Stegostoma tigrinum: one gene and its partner. The protein of the gene in region 2 interacts with the protein of the main gene of each other region in a biochemical or structural test. Links are inferred from orthologs where the notes say so. Each region holds a gene or a part of one and is shown on either strand. Other genes may lie near its edges. The genes, in order: flt3 and syk.

What was found.
Region 1: of the proteins of syk (region 2) and flt3, one has a biochemical effect on the other in vitro, tested with the Homo sapiens proteins (2 studies listed by IntAct, with this or other methods). The link is inferred for Stegostoma tigrinum from reciprocal best matches to the Homo sapiens genes SYK and FLT3.

The regions. Positions count from the first base shown.
Region 1 is NC_081359.1:78,786,548-78,796,930, forward strand, and holds the start of flt3 (receptor-type tyrosine-protein kinase FLT3), read right to left. Parts: upstream 4,748-10,383; 5' UTR 4,686-4,747; coding exon 4,634-4,685; intron 1-4,633. UniProt on the Homo sapiens protein: Tyrosine-protein kinase that acts as a cell-surface receptor for the cytokine FLT3LG and regulates differentiation, proliferation and survival of hematopoietic progenitor cells and of dendritic cells.
Region 2 is NC_081356.1:52,824,691-52,835,505, forward strand, and holds the start of syk (tyrosine-protein kinase SYK), read right to left. Parts: upstream 4,977-10,815; 5' UTR 4,912-4,976; intron 4,174-4,911; 5' UTR 3,789-4,173; intron 1-3,788. UniProt on the Homo sapiens protein: Non-receptor tyrosine kinase which mediates signal transduction downstream of a variety of transmembrane receptors including classical immunoreceptors like the B-cell receptor (BCR).

The DNA of each region.
Region 1 (10,383 bases), on a different chromosome or scaffold from region 2:
TCCTTCCTGTGGCTGGAGACTAGAATTGAATGCAGTATTCCAAAACGGGACTAACCAATGTCCTGTACAGCTGCAACACGACCTTGCAAGTCCTATACTCAGTGCACTGTCCAATAAAGGCAAGTGTACTAAATGCCTTCTTTACCATCCTGTCCACAGTGACTCCACTTTCAAGGAACTATGAACATGCACACCAAGGACTCTTTGTTTGGCAATGGCCCCCAGAACCTTACAATTAAGTACATAAGTCCTGCCCTGATTTGCCTTACCAAAATGCAGTACCTCACATTTATCTAAATTAAACTCCATCTGCCACTCCTCAGCCCATCAGCCCATCTAATCAAGGTCCTGTTGTGCACTGAGATAACCTACTTCTCCGTCCACTGCACAACCAATTTTGGTGTCATCAGCAAACTTACTAACTATACCTCCTATATTTACATCCAAATCATCGATATAAATGACAAAAAGCAGTGGGCCCAGCACCAATTTTTGTGACAGACCACTGGACACCGGCCTCCAGTTTGAAAAGCAACCCTCTGCAACCACCTTCTATCTTCTATTTTCGAGCCAGTTATGCATCCAAATGGCTGGTTCTCCCTGTGTTCCATGTGATGTAACCTTGTTAACCAGTCTGCCATGCAGAACCTTGCCAATTGCCTTAGAGAATTCCATACAGGCCATGTCCATCTCTCTGCCTTCATCAATCCTCTTCATCACTTCCTCAAAGAATCAAACAAGTTAGTAAGAAACAATTTCCCACGCACAAAGCCATGTTGACTATCCCTAATCAGTCCTTGACTTTCCACATACATGTAAATCCTGTCCTTCAGATTCAATATATATATTCATAGCCATTTTGAGAGGAAATCCCAATGATTCACAACTCTTTGAGTGAGGCAATTTCTCCTTTACTGGTTATAATGTCAAAATCATACTCTGAAATTGTATTCCCTAGATATAGATTCCCAGCCTTGGGAAATATACTTTCAGATGTACAGTGTCAAGTTCCTTAAGAACTTTACATTTCAATGAAAGCTCTTCTCACTCTTCCAAACTCTAGGGAATATAGGCCTAGCCTACTCAATTTGTCAGAGGACAATCCTGTCAACCCAGGAATGAATGCAATAAGAGAGAGTCCTTAGGTTGCTATCAGCATCTTTCCAACTATGTAAGAAGTCATATGCAACAAACTGATTGGGGTGGGAAAGATTCATATACTCCTTAAGGAAAGAGACAAAAACTAGTCAGTATTGCAGGTGTGGTCTCACTGAGACCCAAAATAAGGCAATGAGAACTCCTTACTCTAATATTTCAATCTCTTTGTATTTAAGTCTAACATTCCATTTGCATTTGAGATTGTCTCCTGGACATGGATGTTAATGATCTGAGTACAAAAAGCAGAGAAGTTTATGCATGATGATAGGTGGCATCAGAATCAGGTTATAACAATGAGTATTAGCCCAGTATTTCAAGCCAGTTTAGTGGGGGAGACATTGTCCACCTCCTTCTGCAATTTGCAAAGAATGTCTGTGAAGTATCTTTTGTTGGAGTTCATACTGAGCAATTCCATAATGCAGAAGTCTTGTTCTACTGGCTACTTCCAGAGATGAACACTGAGATAAGCAGCGCTGCTGCTGGAGGACCGTTAGTCTTGGTGAAAAATGTTAATAAGGACTGAGTATTGCAGACTGGTACATTCCAGGTTTAGAACATGGAATGGTGAACGGCTCCTGTTGAATGTTGATTTGTCATAGCGCATCGAAGGCTAGAAAATGTGTAAAATCTCTATAGGATGGGTCTGGCATCTTTGCCACAGGATGTATTGTAAATATTGGCAGCAACCGTAATTGCATTGCATCAGAAAAATATAAATACTTTGAGGAATAAAGTATATAGCTTGTAAAAACTATTACCGAGACTACATACTCAGGTTCAATAAAAACTGAAATTGTTAGAGAAACTCAGCAACTCTGGCAGCATCTGTTAAGCGAAAGCAGAGTTAATGTCCAATGTCCCTACTCTAAAAGCGATAGTAGCTGAGAAAAGGTAGAATATATGCTGCTGACAGTGGCAGGGATGAATAGGAGAAACAAGTGAGCAAATAGGTAGAGACAGAGTCCAGGAAGCAACAAGAAACTAGGTGTAATTTTATTTTGCGTACTCAGGTTTATGATTTGGAAGATGATGGCTATTAATGTTGCATTGCTATGATTATTATATGCAAGAAGAGAATTTTAAGTCAAAGAATGACAGAATTATTAAGGTGTTGAAGGAGGCCTTTTGGCCCATCATGTCTGCACCTATTATTTAGTCTTTTTCCCCATACCCCTCCACACTACTTCTATCCAAATAATCATCCAATGCTTCTTGAATGCCTCAATCGAACCTGCTTCCATCTCATCTCCAAGCAATGCATTCCACACACGCTGCGTGAAAATGTGTTTTTTTTTCCTCACCTTTTCATCGCTTCGAATGTACATCAATTTAAATGTTGCGGGTCTCTGGACTAAATGTACGTTTTTGCTTGGTTTTCTTTGGCAGCATCATGCGTAGGATATAATTCGCGCGGTTAGAGGATGGCAGATGTTTGTGCCTGCGGAAAAGTGTCAAGTCGCAATTTGAGGTTTAGTTTCCCCTCAGAATGAAGGAGTAAAAGTATTGTTAGTAGCAAAGGGGAAATGTTTGGCGTGTGAGCAGCGGAGGAGGGGGCGCACATTTTGTTTCACTGTTTTCCGGATCACTGCCCGGGCAAGGGACATTTTAAGAACGAGAGGAAAAAATGTGTCACTGGTACTTTCGAGCTTGTTTATGTCCTCTTTCCGCTTTTGCCACACGTGTTTCAACTACAGACGAAAAAAAAGGTGAGTAGAAGTCTCAGATTTTTGATTTAGTAATTCGAAAACTCGCACTGGCTCCACATTTGCTACTCCCGCATCTAGATTTCACGCTGCAGTTTCCTTCTGTTTAAATGCTATGGTTAGGTTACTATTATCAGATAAAATCTGCATTTCCTTTCGTCTTTTGTGTCCACTATTAATTTTACTAGAACTATTAGGAGGTACCGTGGTTCAGTGACTAGCACTACTGCTGTCTCTCAGTGGCAGGGCTGGGGTTCGATTCCTGCCTCGGACGAGTGTCTGTGTGGAGCCTGCACGTTTCCCCGTGTCTGCTTGGCTTTCCTTCCACAGTCCACATGTGCAGGTTAGCCATGCTAAATTGTCCATCGTGTTCAAGAGTCTGCAGGGTCTTTTTTATTTTATGTTTCTGAACAGGCTAGGTGGATTAGCCGTGGGCGGATGCTCCTTAGAGTGTCGGTGTGGAATGGACGGGTCGAACAGCCTGCTTCCACACTGCAAGAGATTCTACGAATCTAATATTGGTTTTCCTCACAAGGTAAATCATTCTGTGCAGTTAATAAGTTTTCGGGCCTAGCTTTCCTTTTGATGGGAGAAACAGTCTTGCCAAACCTTTGTCTATTCATTGACTGAAACGGTGTTCTAGATGTTAGAAAGCTACTCTGTATCATCTGTCAGATCAAGTGCAGATTTGGGATCCAAACCAACAATATTGGCAATCTTGTTCCGGAAATAGATGTTCTTTAAACTCAATGCAGTATATATGTTTATACAGAAGTGAAAACATGAACCTAAAAGTGTTGATATTTGTAAGGTTGCATGCAAACTGCACGTGTCCCCGTTAGGAGAGGTTTCCACACTTTTGGCCAGTGACATTTCTGACATACTCTTAAACACGCAAGTAAAATTACCATGCAAATGGGAATTCCCAGTTGCATTTATAACACAGCAAGGTAGGTATTGCGAATCGTTGTTACTTTTTCGCCCCATCAATGTTAAACATCAAATCCAAAGGCACGTCCTCCTCAGTAGTTTCTTATCTGCTGTTACACAAAATAGAACTTACATATTTACTTCATCTTTCACCTAGAAAGCAATTCCAATCTTGGCGTGTTCCGTAATGGCTATGACTGCTGTCTTTTTAGTTTCATAAACGCTGCACGAATTATAAACTGGGAACCCAAGGGTAGGAAATTTATTCTATGCGTCTTATGTGAGGAGGACAGAACAAAACATTTGTTAGAGATTGTTTCCAAATCGAAGCCCTGCTCTTTCTTTAAAAAAAACTTTATCATATCTTATTGTATAGTTGTGATACCGTGTCACCGCAATAGAAAACTGACCTTTCTATGCTTAAATAAAAGAGATACAATGTTTAAGAAAATGGCTTAAAAAGTAATTACAACTGGCGGTCTAGATGCAACGGTCCGCTTTCAATAATGTTGGACCGAAATGATTCCATTGATATGAACTGCCGCTACATACACGTGAGTGACCCAGATCCACGCATCAACAAAGGAAACAAAAATCTACCTGTTCGCGTTGTTAAATGTTTGTGTTGTCCGTATCTCTTCTCGCAGTTTGAACCATTATAATAGCATTTAAACTAGTTTGCAGCATACACTGAAAAACGTTTAGTCAACAATTAAGATATTACATCTTTCCACAATAAACAATATCACATCTGCAATTCAAATCTCTCCATGCTACTACTCACGGCACATTTGGTCTTTCAAAGAAGTTTAAAAGCCCTGGTGTCAGATACATATACGTACTCAGAACCACGAAAAAGAGCTTGCTTGCTGTTTCAAACATGAATTCCAACATTGTGGTTCTACACTTTTTTAAATCAAAAACAGGATATGAAAATATATACTGAGATACTCCACAAGTGCACGGTGCCAAGCATTAAAGCTGAAAGTGACTGTGGGTTTTATTTAACCTGTTCATACGTCACTCAACAGGAACCAGTGCAAAGGACTTAGCCCACCCTGTTTTCAATAATGCTCTTATTAATTTCCAATGAGAAAATATAAATAACAATGTTATTTTTATTTTGCTCTTTGACTCCTGACAAAATTTCTAAATTCAATTTTAGCTTATTTAACAGAAGTTTTTTTAAAATTTCATAACAAGCGTATTTTCTGCCATTATCTTTCTGATGTTATTTGCCATCAAACGGAATTTCTTCAAACATTCTGCTTTACACGGAACATTCAAAAATTAAGTTGATCGAGTTTGATATTAATTTGAAATTCTACAATGAACCTACAATCTGAAAAAAAGTTTTAAAAAATTTATAATTCTTGCAGTGAAGACGTCATTAATAATTATTTACAAAGCTTATGCCTCGGCGGAAATTATGATGGGTCTTTGTTTTGACTGGACAGCAATGATTTGATGCAATTGAGTACATTGTTTGGTGAGAATGTGGGCAGTTATGAATCACCGTATGAGATTATAATGATATATAGGCCAGATCAGGTTAAGAATGGATGTTAAAGAACATCGGCAACCTTCGGGATTTTTAAAATCATATTTAATAATATTTACACATAGTATTTTTTTCATTTTACTTCTATGTGCGTTTGTACACAGGTCCTACAGATTACCAGTTACAGTAATAAGACCATACCATCAGAATGTAAAATGAACATACTGAAAGTTATCTCATTACTTAGTTTAAAAAAACACGTTATGAGGGGATTTTCAGCAATGAAATTAGTTTCAGAATACCACATAGGTGGAAGGGAAATTGTTTGAATAGGATTTTGACCAACACTGTGAAGTTGCTGAGGGAATCCGGGCTATTTCAAACGTCACAGTGAATGGGGAATTTATACAGGGCTTGAGTCTCTGGCCAACATTTGAAAATACATTTCTTATACAAATGATTAAAATAATTTATTGAAATTAATGATTCAATTGTTCAATGCCAGTAAACAGCTGAGTGTCCAATGGAACAATTGCAAGTATTGAAGGAGTACTTTGGTGCTCACAAATGGATTGCTGTATAGACTGAAGAATTGTCAGCTGGTAAACAAAGCAAAAATAGTAGTTCAAATCAAATCCATCAACATTGCATTTCTCTAAAGGGGCAAGTATAGGAAAGGTACGTAGTTTGAAAGTATCATTCATGTCACATGAATGTCACCATGCAACAGGTGAGAACAGGGCTGTGCAAATCAATGACAAGAAGCACCATGATTAAAAAGTAATCAAAACAGTATATTAAAAGCTCGTTGCTGTTCATCAATAACACCAAAATTTAGAGACATTTTTTGATTTCTATTGTTACAAAGTTGCGTAGAGTAATTGTGAATTGGAAGGCAGGCAGCGAGAATATGTTTGTAAAAAAATGATAAGGTGGGGAAGAGTGCGTAGTCCCTTTAAGAGGTGATGTGCGTTTTTAAGCTCGGAGATTGAAATGTAAATGTATCTGTAGGCTGCTGAATAGGTACAGACAGTTCGGAAATTGAAACTTATCAATTAACTGTGTGATTGCAAACCTTAAGGTTGTTTTGATGTTTTGGCAACTAACTGGAATCAGTCAATTAATTTAAGCCAAGCACTTTGGCAATTGAAAACCAATTGAATTTAAATCTGATGGTTTTAGCAACCTTGAATCAATGCTATTGTAAGAAAATTGATATGTCATCAAAGGTTTGTAAGGAGAGGGTTTTTGAAAATTGGTGTGAGAGCGACCTCGCCATCTGATAAATAAATATCTGATTCTCACAAGAAATTACTAAACTGTCTCGGAAAACACCATCTACCCATAAAAGGTACTATGGCATTTCTAACTAAGAGTTCTCACAGAAGACTTCATAGAGAAAGCATCCCTGACAGCCGGATCAGTGGAAGAAATGCATTTATGAGTTCAAAATAGCAACAGAAAGGCATGTGGACTTTGAGAGACTAAGCTTTAATTTATTTTCTTATTACTTGGACGTATACCAGTGGGACTTGTGTTTATTGGAGTAGCATACCAGTAGAATTTTGTTGGTAGTTAAGGAGGAATTTTTTGTTTTTGTTTTTTTTTCAAATTATGCTAATTTGTGCACTGTTAGGGTTAAATAAATTGTTATTTGTTACTTATAAAGTGGATATCAGGGATTTTCTTCCATTTAACCTCCCCTTCACCGTAACAATTTAACAGATTAGACGAGGTAAGCTTCTCTGGGTGTTTCGGATTTAATTATTACAAGGAGACCTCGTCTTTTGCTATAAGAGATGGAGGGCTTGTGTTTCAATTTTAGTTATCAGAGGGCTTCAACCTCTCCTTCCTTACACTATCCTGCTTCACTGATACTTATGTATTATATGTATTAATATTGAGGAAAGAGAACATTTTATTAGCGAGAATATTCCTAAGCTTTTGACTTTAAATTGTTAATTTGATATTGCTTTTTCACAAATGTAATGAACCTAAAATATTAAAATACCAAAACAAGCAATTTAATTCACATAAATTATTTCCTTATATGAAAATGTAAACCTCTTAAAACAATTTCAGCTGTTGGATTTCCTTGGGGAGACATTTAATATCTGGACAGTATGCTGGTATTTACATTTCCAAGCAGTAGTGTAAAATTTTATTCAATTAGCTTTTCAACTTGCTTTTTATGAAAGTCATACTTGAGAACACAGTTAAACTGGAGTGGAATATACAACTTCAGTCTGCTGTGTAGATGATATCTGTGGCTATCTTTGCTGTTCTGTTCCTCAGTCTCTGCACATAAAGGTTCAACATTCAATTCTTTAATAATTTAACTTTTGTTTTTAAAGTAATTGTACAGCTGCTGTGGAACTTTGATAAAACACTATCTCATACATTCACAATTTCTGTTTGCTTTTGTTTTTATAATCTCTTGAGTTGCCATTTAGCCACCTGATGATTTCATCCACTTAGCAAACTTGTTCTGAGATGTCTCTGCTTTGTTCTTGAACTATTGCAGTACTTTCTTTTAGGCTTTTCCATCTGGATGTCTTCCAGCAAAGGTACTATGCTTTTGAGTGAAATGCCTCTTAAGATTTGATTTCTTGGTGTTGGCTAATTTCTTATTGCAAATGAGATACACAGGGAGGCTAGCCAAATTTGGAATGAATGCGAATGAATCAGTCCATTCATCTTGAAAATCTGAATTTTCCTCTTCAATTCTTCTCTCCTTTTGAAGCCATTTCCAAAGCAGACTCAAAACAAGGATGCGGTTAAGTTTGTCCCCTTTCAGTGATTATGTGCCTGCTTGCACACAAGGCACGTGCTTACCAACACAGACCCAGCATCAGGGCCAGAGTAAGACTGCTCTTTTATTGATTAATGTGCGTCCCTGCACGTGTTCACCAGCATAGCATCAGGACTATCAAAAGCATTTCTGTTGCAATTGACTAATCAGCTTCTACATGTTGCACATTCGACCAATGACAGTTTAATTCCAGTTTTAATGGCCAATCAGAATGTGCCATTGTAGGTGTGCTTTTTAAACAGATCAACCAGGGTTAGAGTGAGTGTGATGTGTTACTGATTATTGAGTCTGTTTGTAGGTGACCCATACGATTCAATGGTGGTCAACAATGTAAAAAAGCCTTTTGCAGTGCAGGGGTAATGACCCTACCTCTCAGCCAGCAGGTCTGGGTTCTAGTCATACCTGAACTATGTCATACTTGTTTGAACAGGTTGATTGGAAAATATCCAATAGTGCACAGTCTCATTTTCCCTGGCAAAACATTCGGCAAACAAGAATGTTTGGATAACTGATTTTTTAAATGTATTTCTGAACTGGGAGTACATTGGAGAACGATTCTTTGAAAATGTTTTCAGTAAATGTTTGAAAGATGTATTCCTTTTATGAACCAGAGTCATAAAGTTGTACAGCAAGGATACAGACCATTTGACCCATATTCCTCAAAATCTTTCCAATTCATGTACACATCTAGATGACTTTTAAATGTTGTAATTGTACCAACCTCCACCATTTCCTCTGACAGCTCATTCCATACATGCACCACCCTCTGCATGAAAAAGCTGCCCGTTAGGTTCCTTTTATATCATTCCCCTCTCACTTTAAACCTAACCTTTCTAGTTTTGGACTCCTGTACCCTGGGAATAAGACCTTGGTTATTCACCCCATCCATGACTGTCATGAGTTTATAAACCTCCATAAGGTCATCCCTCAGTCTCCGATGCTCCAGAGAAAATAGCCCCAGCCTATTACAGAAGCCACACATTGGATTCCAGGGTCTCACAAGCTGCCGAGTCCAACATTAGGTTAAACAACTCACAAATGTGAGTCTGACTAAGACACAATAGGCAAAATGTTATGTCTTATAAAAAACTGGAGGTACTTCTGCTTAGTGGTGAGGCAGATTTTCTCATGCAGTTACGTTCTTTTAAGTTCTTTACATATTCAGTAGGTAAGGAGCCAAATTTTTGTGACCGGAAGTTCTGGCTCCTGTTGGGACCTTCCAGGCACTCTGGTTAAAAGGCAACCAGACAGCATCACTCTCCACAAATTAGCTCATCACCCCTACTCATCCCTGAAAATACCTGAGATTTGCCTGAAGAATGTCCCATACTTCAGTGATACCTCTCTAAGGCTGCTTCTGCAGGGTGTCTGTGAGAGAAAGGTTGTTTTATTTTGTACAGTGGCAACAAAAGGCCAACCCAAGTCACTAAAGCAGCCTGAGCTGACCTGACTGTGGAGGTTACTACCTGTGTGAACCATCAATGTCCAGGAGGATGAATGATTTGCTGCACACACCAAGCTAAGTCCCAATGTGTACTCAATGATTCATGCCCCAATGAATGAGTTTTCATTGTCAACTTGCTACTTCAGAGGATTATCACTTCCAAGATTGACTGCCACCATCTCCGTCACCGCATGTGCAATCAATGTGTGCCACTTCATTGCACCTACCAGGATTGAACTTCTAGTGCAACAGTGCTACTTCTGAATCTAACCTGGTTTACACTTCAAACATAAATGGAGCTATACGCAGCAACTTATGCACTATCAGCTCATTGATCTTGTCGCAATGAGGTGAACTTGCGCATCTGATAGCTTCTCACTATAGGCTTGCGTGGGACAAGGATACAACCGGAAAAGATGGCTTCAGGAAGAACACCTCACAGGGTTAAAGGGGACACACACAGTTTACAGTTTCATTGATTTCCTTCAACTCTAGCTCCTTGACCACATTGAACCAACTTTCATTCAGGGCCCTTGAACTGCTAACTTTCTCCATACACTGTCTTCTTACAGATATATCACTTTGGTGAAGACAAGTCTGAGGGTTCGAGAATGTATCTATCTGTCAACACAGGCAAGACGCTCATGTACCTATGCTAATGTCTTTCAATGCTTCTCTCCTGCAGGAAATAAAGGTGTACAATTAGTGCAGGTAGGCTAAGCAAGGGTGAATTTCTGACATAAGGGTTCTCACTTTTAGGGAGAAGGCTGCTGAGTTGGCAGGTGTGCAATGGGACTGGGCTTGTGCTCAGGGTCAATTGATATGCGCAGCCATG
Region 2 (10,815 bases):
AGGTGATGCATTTTGGAAGGTCGAATTTGAAAGCTGAGTACAGGATTAAGGATAGGATTCTTGGCAGCATGGAGGAACAGAGGGATCTTGGTGTGCAGATACATAGATCCCTTAAAATGGCCACCCCAAGTGGACAGGGTTGTTAAGAAAGCATATGGTGTTTTGGCTTTCATTAACAGGGGGATTGAGTTTAAGAGTCGTGAGATCTTGTTGCAGCTCTATAAAACTTTGGTTAGACCGCACCTGGAATACTGCGTCCAGTTCTGGGCGCCCTATTATAGGAAAGATGTGGATGCTTTGGAGAGGGTTCAGAGGAGGTTTACCAGGATGCTGCCTGGACTGGAGGGCTTATCTTATGAAGAGAGGTTGACTGAGCTCGGTCTCTTTTCATTGGAGAAAAGGAGGAGGAGAGGGGACCTAATTGAGGTATACAAGATAATGAGAGGCATAGATAGAGTTGATAGCCAGAGACTATTTCCCAGGGCAGAAATGGCTAGCACGAGGGGTCATAGTTTTAAGCTGGTTGGTGGAAAGTATAGAGGGGATGTCAGAGGCAGGTTCTTTACGCAGAGAGTTGTGAGAGCATGGAATGCGTTGCCGGCAGCAGTTGTGGAAGCAAGGTCATTGGGGTCATTTAAGAGACTGCTGGACATGTATATGGTCACAGAAATTTGAGGGTGCATACATGAGGATCAATGGGATGCACAACATTGTGGGCTGAAGGGCCTGTTCTGTGCTGTACTGTTCTATGTTCTATGTTCAACAGCATTGTATGTGCATGCATTATCCAAACTGCTGAAGTTTAAGAAGGAGCTCACCAAAACCATGTCAAGGGCAATGAAAGATAACCAACAAATTCTGGCCTTGCCAGTATTATTCATATCCCATGAAAGCACTCAAAGGTGCTGTGTCTGACACAACTGAATGAGGGAAATAACTTGCAATTACATGGTATTCTATGCCAGATTACTCCAATGTGCTTAATGGTCACTGAAATCCTTTTAAAGTGTAGTCACTTTTGTAGTGACCAATATGCACAGTACACAGCCCAACAAACAACACTTAATACTTAATAATTTATCTGTATTGGTTGAGGGATAATTGTCAGCAACATGTTTGCCTTACATATCTTTGAACTGTTCGTGAAATATTGGGAAAGCCAATGTAAAGTAAAACTGCATACTGAATCTGGAGGACACTTAAGACTGGTGCCTAGGGAGGACATTTGGAGATGTGCTAGAACTTGTCAAGACCTTTAAAAGTCTTTCAGGATATATGCAACAAAAGCTAGGCAAGAATAAGAATAAGAGTCTGTGTGAGGTAAGGTGGGAGTTTTGACAGGAATGTTAGATTGCATCAGCACTCAGCACTCCTTCCTGATTATCATGAATATTGCAACTGAGAACATGAGGCAGGAAATATCAAGTCAATGATATTTGCAAAGGGCATTCAGCTATGTGGAGAGGATAATGAGAACGTGACTGAGTTCTGAAGAATTGAAGAGAAATGCTGGAAGAAATGAGAATGAAGATAACAGAACATAGGCTGTCAGCTTCAGCCCAGGAAATTAAATCAGAGTGAAGCTGTAAAGATAATGGGAAAGATCTGGAGAAAACGGAGAGTTGAAAGTATCTCGGATCAATGATGGCAGAGGACAGAAGAACGAAAATTGAAATTAAACGACAAATTATTTCTGGTTGGAGTAATGGATGAAATGCAGCATTTGGGGTGGCATGATGGCTCAGTGGTTAGCACTGCTGCTTCACAGCACCAGGGATCCAGGTTCGATTCCAACCTCGGGTGACTGCGTGGAGTTTACACATTCTCCCCATGTCTGCGTGGGTTTCCTCCAGGTGCTCTGGTTTCTTCCCACAGTCCAAAGATGGGCAAGCTAGATGGATTGGCCATGCTAAATCGCTTGTAGTGTTCAGGGATGTGTAGATCAGGGGGATGGGTCTGGGTGGGATTCCCTGACGGTTGATGTGGATTTGTTGGCCCGAAGGGCCTGTTTCCGCACTGTGGGGATTCTAATGATATTGTTAATTGATACACAACTGTCACTGAAACTGAAAGAAAGAATCTGCAAGACAGTTGTATGACCAGCTCTGTTATAAAGCACAGAAATAGGGGCAATGTCAATAAGACACTAACAACTGGATACTCATGAGATGCAAAGAGCAAGATTGATGTGTGGAGTAACGAGAAAGGACATGATTAGGAACTAGGACATCGGTGGGTCAAGTAAAGACTTCGGCAGCATCATATAAAGTAGCCAAGAAGGGCTTTTGCAGGTAGTGTTTTCGGATTAATGCTGTGTTCATGGTGCTGAGAGAACATGACGATTGTGGCAGTAAGGGTGAACAGCCTGAAAACTGGTTGAACTACACATAACAGAAGATGGCAGTTAACGTCGACGCCGCGGCAACCTAGCTGCAAGCATCAATTTCGTTCCCATTTTGGTTCGTTTCTGGTTGCAAAATATTTGCAAAACCCACAGTGAGACAAAAGAAAATTTCAATATTATACAAAGAAATAAAGTGTAATTGCTTTAACACTAGGTACGTCTGCGCTATCAGAATAAGCAGTCTTTTAAAATAGTTCCGTTTAAATGATTGTATTTTTGCATCTGAAGCAACAAGCTCCGATGAAAGGTCGTATGTCTCAAAAGTAACTGTTTAAACATGCTGCTTAGATCTGCTGAACATTTCCAGCATCCGCAACATTTCGTTTTGTTTGTGTTTCGCATATTCTATATACTGAATTTTTCCGCCCTCAACTAAATATGAAGACGCGACAAGAAGTTCACTCATTAAAACAAGTTGAAATGGAAGAAGAGCAACTAGCGATACCGATGCGCCTAAAATTCCCTCGCCCTAGGTTCCCGCAGATTTATATTCCTATTCATAAAGACGCCCATGAAATGAGATTAACGGTTGCGTAAAAAATCAATTTGAAGCAGCGGCCGGAGGAAAACAGATCGGGGGAGCCTAAAAAGTCACAGTTCGACTGTGGAGCGTTCAGCTCGTGTTTGACTGAGGATCCGTAACATATAGAAATATATACAACTGCACAAAGACTGGCTGATTTTTTTTCAGTTTATCTAGTTTTAAATTTTCAACACTTCATAAAATAAAATGAAGACAACAGCAAGATTGTAAATGTATTGTAATGCTAAAGAGGTTGTGAGAAGATAAAAATATACGTATTTAACAAGCGTGACACAATGATAAGATTGTACTGACTCCAAACTGACTCATCTAGTGTCACTTCCAGACTGCGCTCAATCTTCTTAAACTTTATATATGTAGTCAAGTTTTTGTCCTCGTTGAATTGGCAACGTTTCCTGATCACGGGATCAAAAACCGCTCGGCCAGTAAATGAAATTATCCGTCCACTGGTTCACAAATAACTTCAGAATTTATTTGTGATCAAAAAATGCAAGTTAATTTGAACCATGCAAACAATATCCGAGATAAGCATTTGTAAAAAGCCAACTTCCCTATTTCCTACCGTTGCAGAAGTGCCTGGAGCAAAATGGTACTTGCCAAAACACTATGTGCACAATTCTGGACGAATGCATGCTGAAGTGCTCACGAAACGAAATCCAATGTTAAAAACGAGAAAGGAAAGAATATGAACCCTTGTTGAATAGAGGGAAACACGTTTTTATTGTCGAAAAATAATTTGCTTCCTAAGTTAAATTACTAATATACGGTGCGGCGAAAACATACTTCAAGGAAGTCCACATATTAAAATTCACATTTCCCAGTATTCCAAAAAGTCCTTACCTGTGCGGCCTTGTTTCCTTGAATTCACTTGTCACTGTCACAGGCTGAACTGATTATTTTAAAAGTTAATTAATGACGGGTCCGTTTTTGATGCGAATTAAAATACAGAACAACTATGCGTATCTTAACATAAAAAGGGCACTGGAGAAACAGCACCGCACGATCAGCAATACCCCAGACAGTGTGTTTTAAAAGAAAAATAGCCCACACTATTTCAGATCCGCAAACGCATGTTGAAAATTTTAATTGCTTTGGACACTCGATGCTGGTTGAGAGAATGAGCTGTAGGCAGTTACTTCCTCTTTCCATCTCGAGTCCAATCCCCATTCTTACTTCCTCGAGTCACTTCATTCCAAAAAACTTCCTCCTTTCATGGAATCAGCAACTGATAAGACAAATTGTGGCATAAAATTTACAATTACAACGTTTACAATTACTCCGATAGGTTAGTTTCGTTTCTTTCAAAACACATAATTGGAATTTAATCCAAATAGTTACTGAATTAAAAAAACACTATTTTCGCAAATACATTTCATTAACAGGGCATGTTCACGACAGCCTGTGAAGATGTATCCCAAAGAAACAGTGTTATGTTGTAAGAGATTTATGTTTTCGGGCTTCAAGTGTTTTTGATTCTTTAAATTAGCAAACAATTTTTAATTGCTCACTGCGAGAATGATAGCATCCATTAGCAAAATACGATTTTTGCAACAGCGTTAAGACGGCTTTTCAGGATCTAAGTGATACTCATAGAGTCACATTTGTATTGTCTCTGTCAAATTTTGTCGATAGATAATATTTTAAATTGATCTGAACCATTAAAATAATAACAACTATGATTAAGTTGGTGACATCCAGGTTAAATCCCAGTTTGGAATTCGAGCAAACTGTATGTGCCGGCAGTTAGAACCTGTATTGCATTACGAGAGTTGGTGTCTTTCAGATCAAATGTTAACCTGAGGCCCAATCTGTAAAATATCTCAAAACTACACCAAGTCGTGTATCGAGTGCGCACTGTGAATGCGTTGCACATAGCTCTTGAACATATCAATTTAAATAACCTCCTCAACATTAGAAAATGACAAAATGTTCAGTTATGTGCAATGGAGTCAATAACCACTACCGCTTGCCTTTCCGGGTTGATTACCCAAGTACAGGAATCATTGCAGCCATGAAAACCGAACTATTTTGCGCATGCGTTCGAATTTGGGGCGGGATTAAACTCCTGACGACAGAATTCGCTCCGTCCCGGACCTGTACCTACGCAATGATGTTCTGATTAAGAAAGAAGCGCGAGCAGTTTGCTTTCCCATTACCAATCGCAGTCTAATGTTGCCACGTTGTACGGATTGGCAGACCTGTGCATTGATAACTGAAGAATGGGAATTTAAATTAAAAACATGCCAAACTCTATTCTTTTAGACCCTACCAAGCCAAAGACTTTCATCGAGTGCTGTCAAATGCAATCCTCAAAATTTGCAAAATCTGCAGACTCCAGTTCCCAGTAACACTCAATCCTCTCTACTACTATCATAACCTAATCAATTTGGAACTATTTTCTAATCAATCTGTTGGAAATATTAGTGAACATCTCTGGAACATGTGGGACTGCTGGGACAGGTTAGGCTCAAGATCCTGTCATATGGACATGGCCACTCATATTAAGTGAGATGAAAGGGGGTGTCGGAGCTATTACTGCTGCAAGTGGGGAAAGCTGGCACTGTCTCTTGAGTGAGGGGTAGGCTTTCTTCTTCATTCATTCACAGGATGAGGATGTCACTGTCTAGGCAGCATTTATTGCCCATTCCTAATTGCCTAGAGGGCAGTTAAGAGTCAACAACATTGCTGTAGGTCAAGAGTCACATGTAGGATAAGGATGACAGTCTCCTTCCCTAAAGGACATTAGTGGACCAGGTGAATTTTTCCCTGTCAATTGACAATGGATTCACAGTCATCATTAGATTTTTAATTCCAGATATTTATTGAATTCAAATTCCACCTTCTGCAGTGCTGGGATTCGAATCTGAGTCCTCAGAATGTTATCTGGATCTCTGGATTAACAGTCCAGTAATAATACCATTAGGCCATTGCCTACCCAAACAGAGGCATGCAAGTTTAGTGGTGTGAGGAGTGGTGATGTGTGTTAGCAAGTGAGAGAAGATATTATAGGCAATAGTAAGAGTGGTAGAGTGTGAGCCATGGTTGGAAATGTGTGCAGTAACCAAGAGAAGATAATGGCATTTATGTTGGCAGAGTGAAGCAGGCCATTGACCTTCTTCATATGGTACTGAACACTCCTTCAGAAGGCTGGGACCTTATTGACCCTGGTGGCAACGTTGTAGATTGTCAAGGTTTAGGGTAGTGGTTACTTCCACTGGTCCTAGGGAAATTGGACTGCCCTCCTCTGCACTACTCTATTCAACAGATCCTTGGTTTCCTATCCTCAAGGTGAAGAACTCATAGCATATGCATTGACATCCACCTTCAACCTGTCTTCTATTTAATATTGGGTGGGTAAAGTGTCAGGCAGCCTACCAAACTTGAGATGCAGTGGTAGGACTTTAGGTCTATAAGTGCTTTATTTCACTACTGCTGCTGAAAGTGCCACACTAGCTGGGAAATCTTGCAGCTTTTACTGGGCAAACTGATATCAAATAGTAACTTCTTTGAAGGCCAATGGTGCCCGATGGAACTGTCCCTGACAAAAGTCATAACTTGCTTTTATGTCTTTTCTACATAAGCCTCTTGAAGAAACCCACCCCAACCCCCAAAGCATCACTCCCAGCCAAGCCCCACTGACACCCAGGACCTGCCTTGAAATCCTGATGCATTATTGGGAGTACTGAGATTCCAGACAACTATACTGATTGGCAGCCCTCTTAGGTGAAATATTGTTTCTAAATGGGAGTGAAAATCTCATCCTGAGATAGTGCTGCTCATTGCATTAAGTAGATGAGGGCAAGACATTTTGTGTTTAACAGACTTCCGACTGAGTTTTTAGTTAAGGATGGGATTGTTGAAGAAAATATACAGTTTTTTTCATCAACTTGTTCTTTGATGTAGTTGCACATCTCTGGAGCAGATGGGACTCAAAGCCAGGCTTCCTGATACAGAGATTGGAATATTAACACTACACCACAACAGCCCCCCACACACCTCAACATATCTAGCTCTTTAGCACCTAGAGCCTTTTCTAGTAAAGTAAGACTCCATCGTCTTGTGTTATAACTCTAGCTGATGGTCAAACAAGCCAGATCCCAGGATGAAATCAAACCTAATTTGGTGTATGTTTAGTTTTTTGGTTTAGTTAGTTAACTTCATGGTTAGTCTCTGAAACATATTTCCTTTAACAATGGAACAGAAGTTTATCACATAAAAGAAGAAAGCTATCTAAATATGGAAACATTTTATAGTGACAATAAAAGACACAGCAGGACAAAGTTTCACTCTGTTTCCTTACACTATCCATTCCAGAGACACTCAAAGTTGGTGAAATTACATCATGTCTTAACTCTATATTTACTCAAATGATTCCTTGCCCTTTCTGTCATGTGAATTATTGAGATAATTTGGCAAGTCTTTTCCAAGTCCATCACCGTGAAGTTTTTACAAATCTGAAGCCTGACCAACCTATCTGGTTTGAAAGCTTGCACTAACTAAAACATTCCTCTGAGGTGATGTTTTCTTCAAACGACCCTGAGCTTCTGTTAGAAGACAAACAAGTCTTGCATCCAAACTGAACCCTGATTCTCCTAAACTGAATATATTAAAAAAACACTGCTTAACCCTGAAATTTTCTAAACTGAAAACAAAGCTAATAACCTTAAATGTTTCCTGTAGCAGTTGTAAACACAACAATATAAGTATCTTTCTATTGACACCACTGGATCTGCAATCACCTACTTTCTCATAAAATATTGGATTTAGGCCACTCTGACCTTATTTCAAAGGAAAAAAGAGCAAAGAAGCAGCAAACACCCATGTCATTCTTTTTTGAAACTCAAATTCCAAAAATACATACAGACAGGCAGGCAGAGACAGACAGACAAACAGACAGACAGACACACACACTCCAATTATATTTTCCTCACAGGAGTTCTCAGATTGTAATGCAATAATTGTCTTAAAATTAACCCTTTCAAGTTAAAACAAAATGTAATGAAAATGCTCCTGAATGAAGGATTTAAAATATATTGCAATATCTATAACGAATTCTAGAATAGAGTCAGAAGTTTCACAATCTTGATGAACAGTTTGCATTTATAAGGCAATAAAAATATAATGAGCCAAACAGCCCCTTAATCTTGTTGTACAATTCAATAAGATCAGGCATGATGTTCAATATCAAATCTGCTTTCCAGTGTGATTGCATATCCCTAGATTCCCTTAGAATTAAAAACAAACTATTGTTTGCAATATATACAACTGAATATTCCCCTGGGCCAGAGAATTCCAATGTTTCACAGCCTTGGGAATGAATAAATTTATCCTCATTCTAGTCATCAGTAGTTGGCCACTTATTCTAAGTTTATACCCACTTGCCTAGGTTCTCAAGTCCAGGAGAATGATCTTTCAGCATTTACCTAATCAGGCCTGATCAGAATTTCATGTTTCAGTGTGATTGTCTCTCTTTGTTCTAAATCATGTAGCATGTAGGCCTGTTGCGCTCAATATCACTCAGAGAGTAAACTTATTGAACCAACAACCAATCTAGTGGACCATCATTGCACCTACTCTAAGAGAACTACATCCTTCCTTCGGTACAAAAAAATAAAACTGAGGAGAAGCCTTCAGGTGTGGTCTCATCAAGCCTTGCAGAATTGCAACAAGACATCTTTATTCTTTGCTCTAATCCATTTGCAATAAAGTCCAGTATGTCGTCAAAGTTCCTAAATAATCACTTTAGCTGCATGATTCATTTCTGTGTTTCATAAACAAGGACATCCACGTCTATGTGAATGTTTACACCAGGCAATTTCTCAGCATTTAAACAATTTTAATTTTTCAGTTTCCTAAAGAAAATGAATAATGTTACTTTTCCCCAGATATGCTCCATCTGCTACCTTCTTGCCATTCATCTATTTGTACATTCAGGAAAAGTAGTGAGGTGGAGTTGATCAGCCATGATCTCGTTGAATGGTAAAGCAGATTCAATGGGTCAAATGTTGTGTAAAAATCACAAGAGTTTTTTTTAATTGAACCTGCTCTGTCATTCAATGAGAATATGGCTGCTCTGATAATCCTCAACTCTTCTTTCCTGCCTTAACACCATAAACACTGATTCCCTAACCAATTAACAATCTATTTAACTCAGTTTTGACTATACTTAATGTTTCAGCCTCTACAAACCTCTGCGCTAAAGTATTACACAGATCCACAACTCTCTGAGAGAAAAACAACCTTCATCATTTAGTTTTAAATGAGCAACAATTTACTCTATGATTATGCTTTCTGGTCCTAGAGTCTCCCACAAGGGGAAACAACCTCTTATTATCTACCCTGCCATGTCCCCTAAGAATCTTGTAAGTTTCAATAAGGTCACCTCTCATTCCTCTATACTCCAATGAGTATAGGCCTACCCGACACAAATCTCCTCATGAGAAAATCCTTCCACATACAAGTTCACTATGTGAACCTTTCCTGGACTTTCTTCAATGCCTTTCCTTAGATAAAAGGGCTAAAACTGTTTACAATATTCTTAGAGTGGTCTAATTCATATTTTGCAGAGATTTATCAAGATTACTCTATTTGAATGCTCCATTTTCTTTGAAATCAAGGCGGAGAGTTCATTTGCTTTCCCTATTACCTTCTGAATGCTGCTTGGATGCTGCTTTATGTGATTCATGCATGAGGATTAGGGTTAGTGTTAACACTCTGTTCTATTACTTTTTGTAGAGTTCTTCTATCGCAATAATATTGAGCTGCCAAAATGCATAGCCTCACATTTTCTCAGATTTCACTTGCCAAATTTGCACTTGTTGATTCATAGAGTCACAGAATCCTACAGCAAAGAGACAGGCCCTTCATCCCGAGTGGGTGTGTGCTGACCAAAATGTCCATCCACTGTAACCCTTCACTTCACCCATATCGTTATAAACATTTCCTGTCCATGAATTTGTCCAAATGCTCTTCCACTGGCAGTTCGTTCCAAAAGTGTACCATCTTCTCTGGAAAAATGCTGCTCCTAAGATTCCTGTGTATTCTTCCTTAAACTGATGCCCTTTAATCATTGATTCCCCAAACCTGGGAAGGAAGACGAAGTGTATTCACCCTATTCACGTCTCTCATAATCTTACACACTTCAATAAGAAACCCCTCAGTCTCCTATGCTGGAAAAAAGCAACTCCTAATTTGCCCAGCCTCTCCCCAGAACTCGGTCCCTTGAGCCCTGGCAAAATCCTTGTAGATTTGTTCTGCACTCTTTCCAGTTTAATAACATCTTTCCTAGAGCAAGGTGATTAAAATTGAACAAGATACTCCAAGTACGGCCTCACCAACATCCTGTGTAACAGCAACATTGCTTCCCAATGTCTTTATTCAATGCCCTGACTGATGGAAGCTCGCGTGCCTAAAGCCTTTTTGACTGCCCTGTATAGCTGTGAATCCCCTTTCAGAGGACCATGCACCTGAACTCCAAGGCCCCTCTGTTTCATTACATACCATTTACCATGAAACTCCTACCTTGGTTTGACTTTTCAAAATGCAACATCTTACACTTATTTATATTAAACTCCATTTGCCATTTCTCATCCCATTTCCCCAGCTCATCAAGATCTTGCTGCAACTTCTGATAACCATCCTCACTGTCCAGGATACTGTCTATTGTAGTGTCATGCACAAACTTACTAATCATGCCTTGTACATTCCCATCCAAATCATTGATAGAGTTAGAATTTAGCAGTGGGCTCAGCACCAACCTCTGAGGCACACCATTCATCACAGGCCTCCAGTCTGACAAGCATCATTCCACTATTACTCTCTGCTTCCTACCACCAAGCCAATTGTGCATCCAATTTGCCAACTCTCC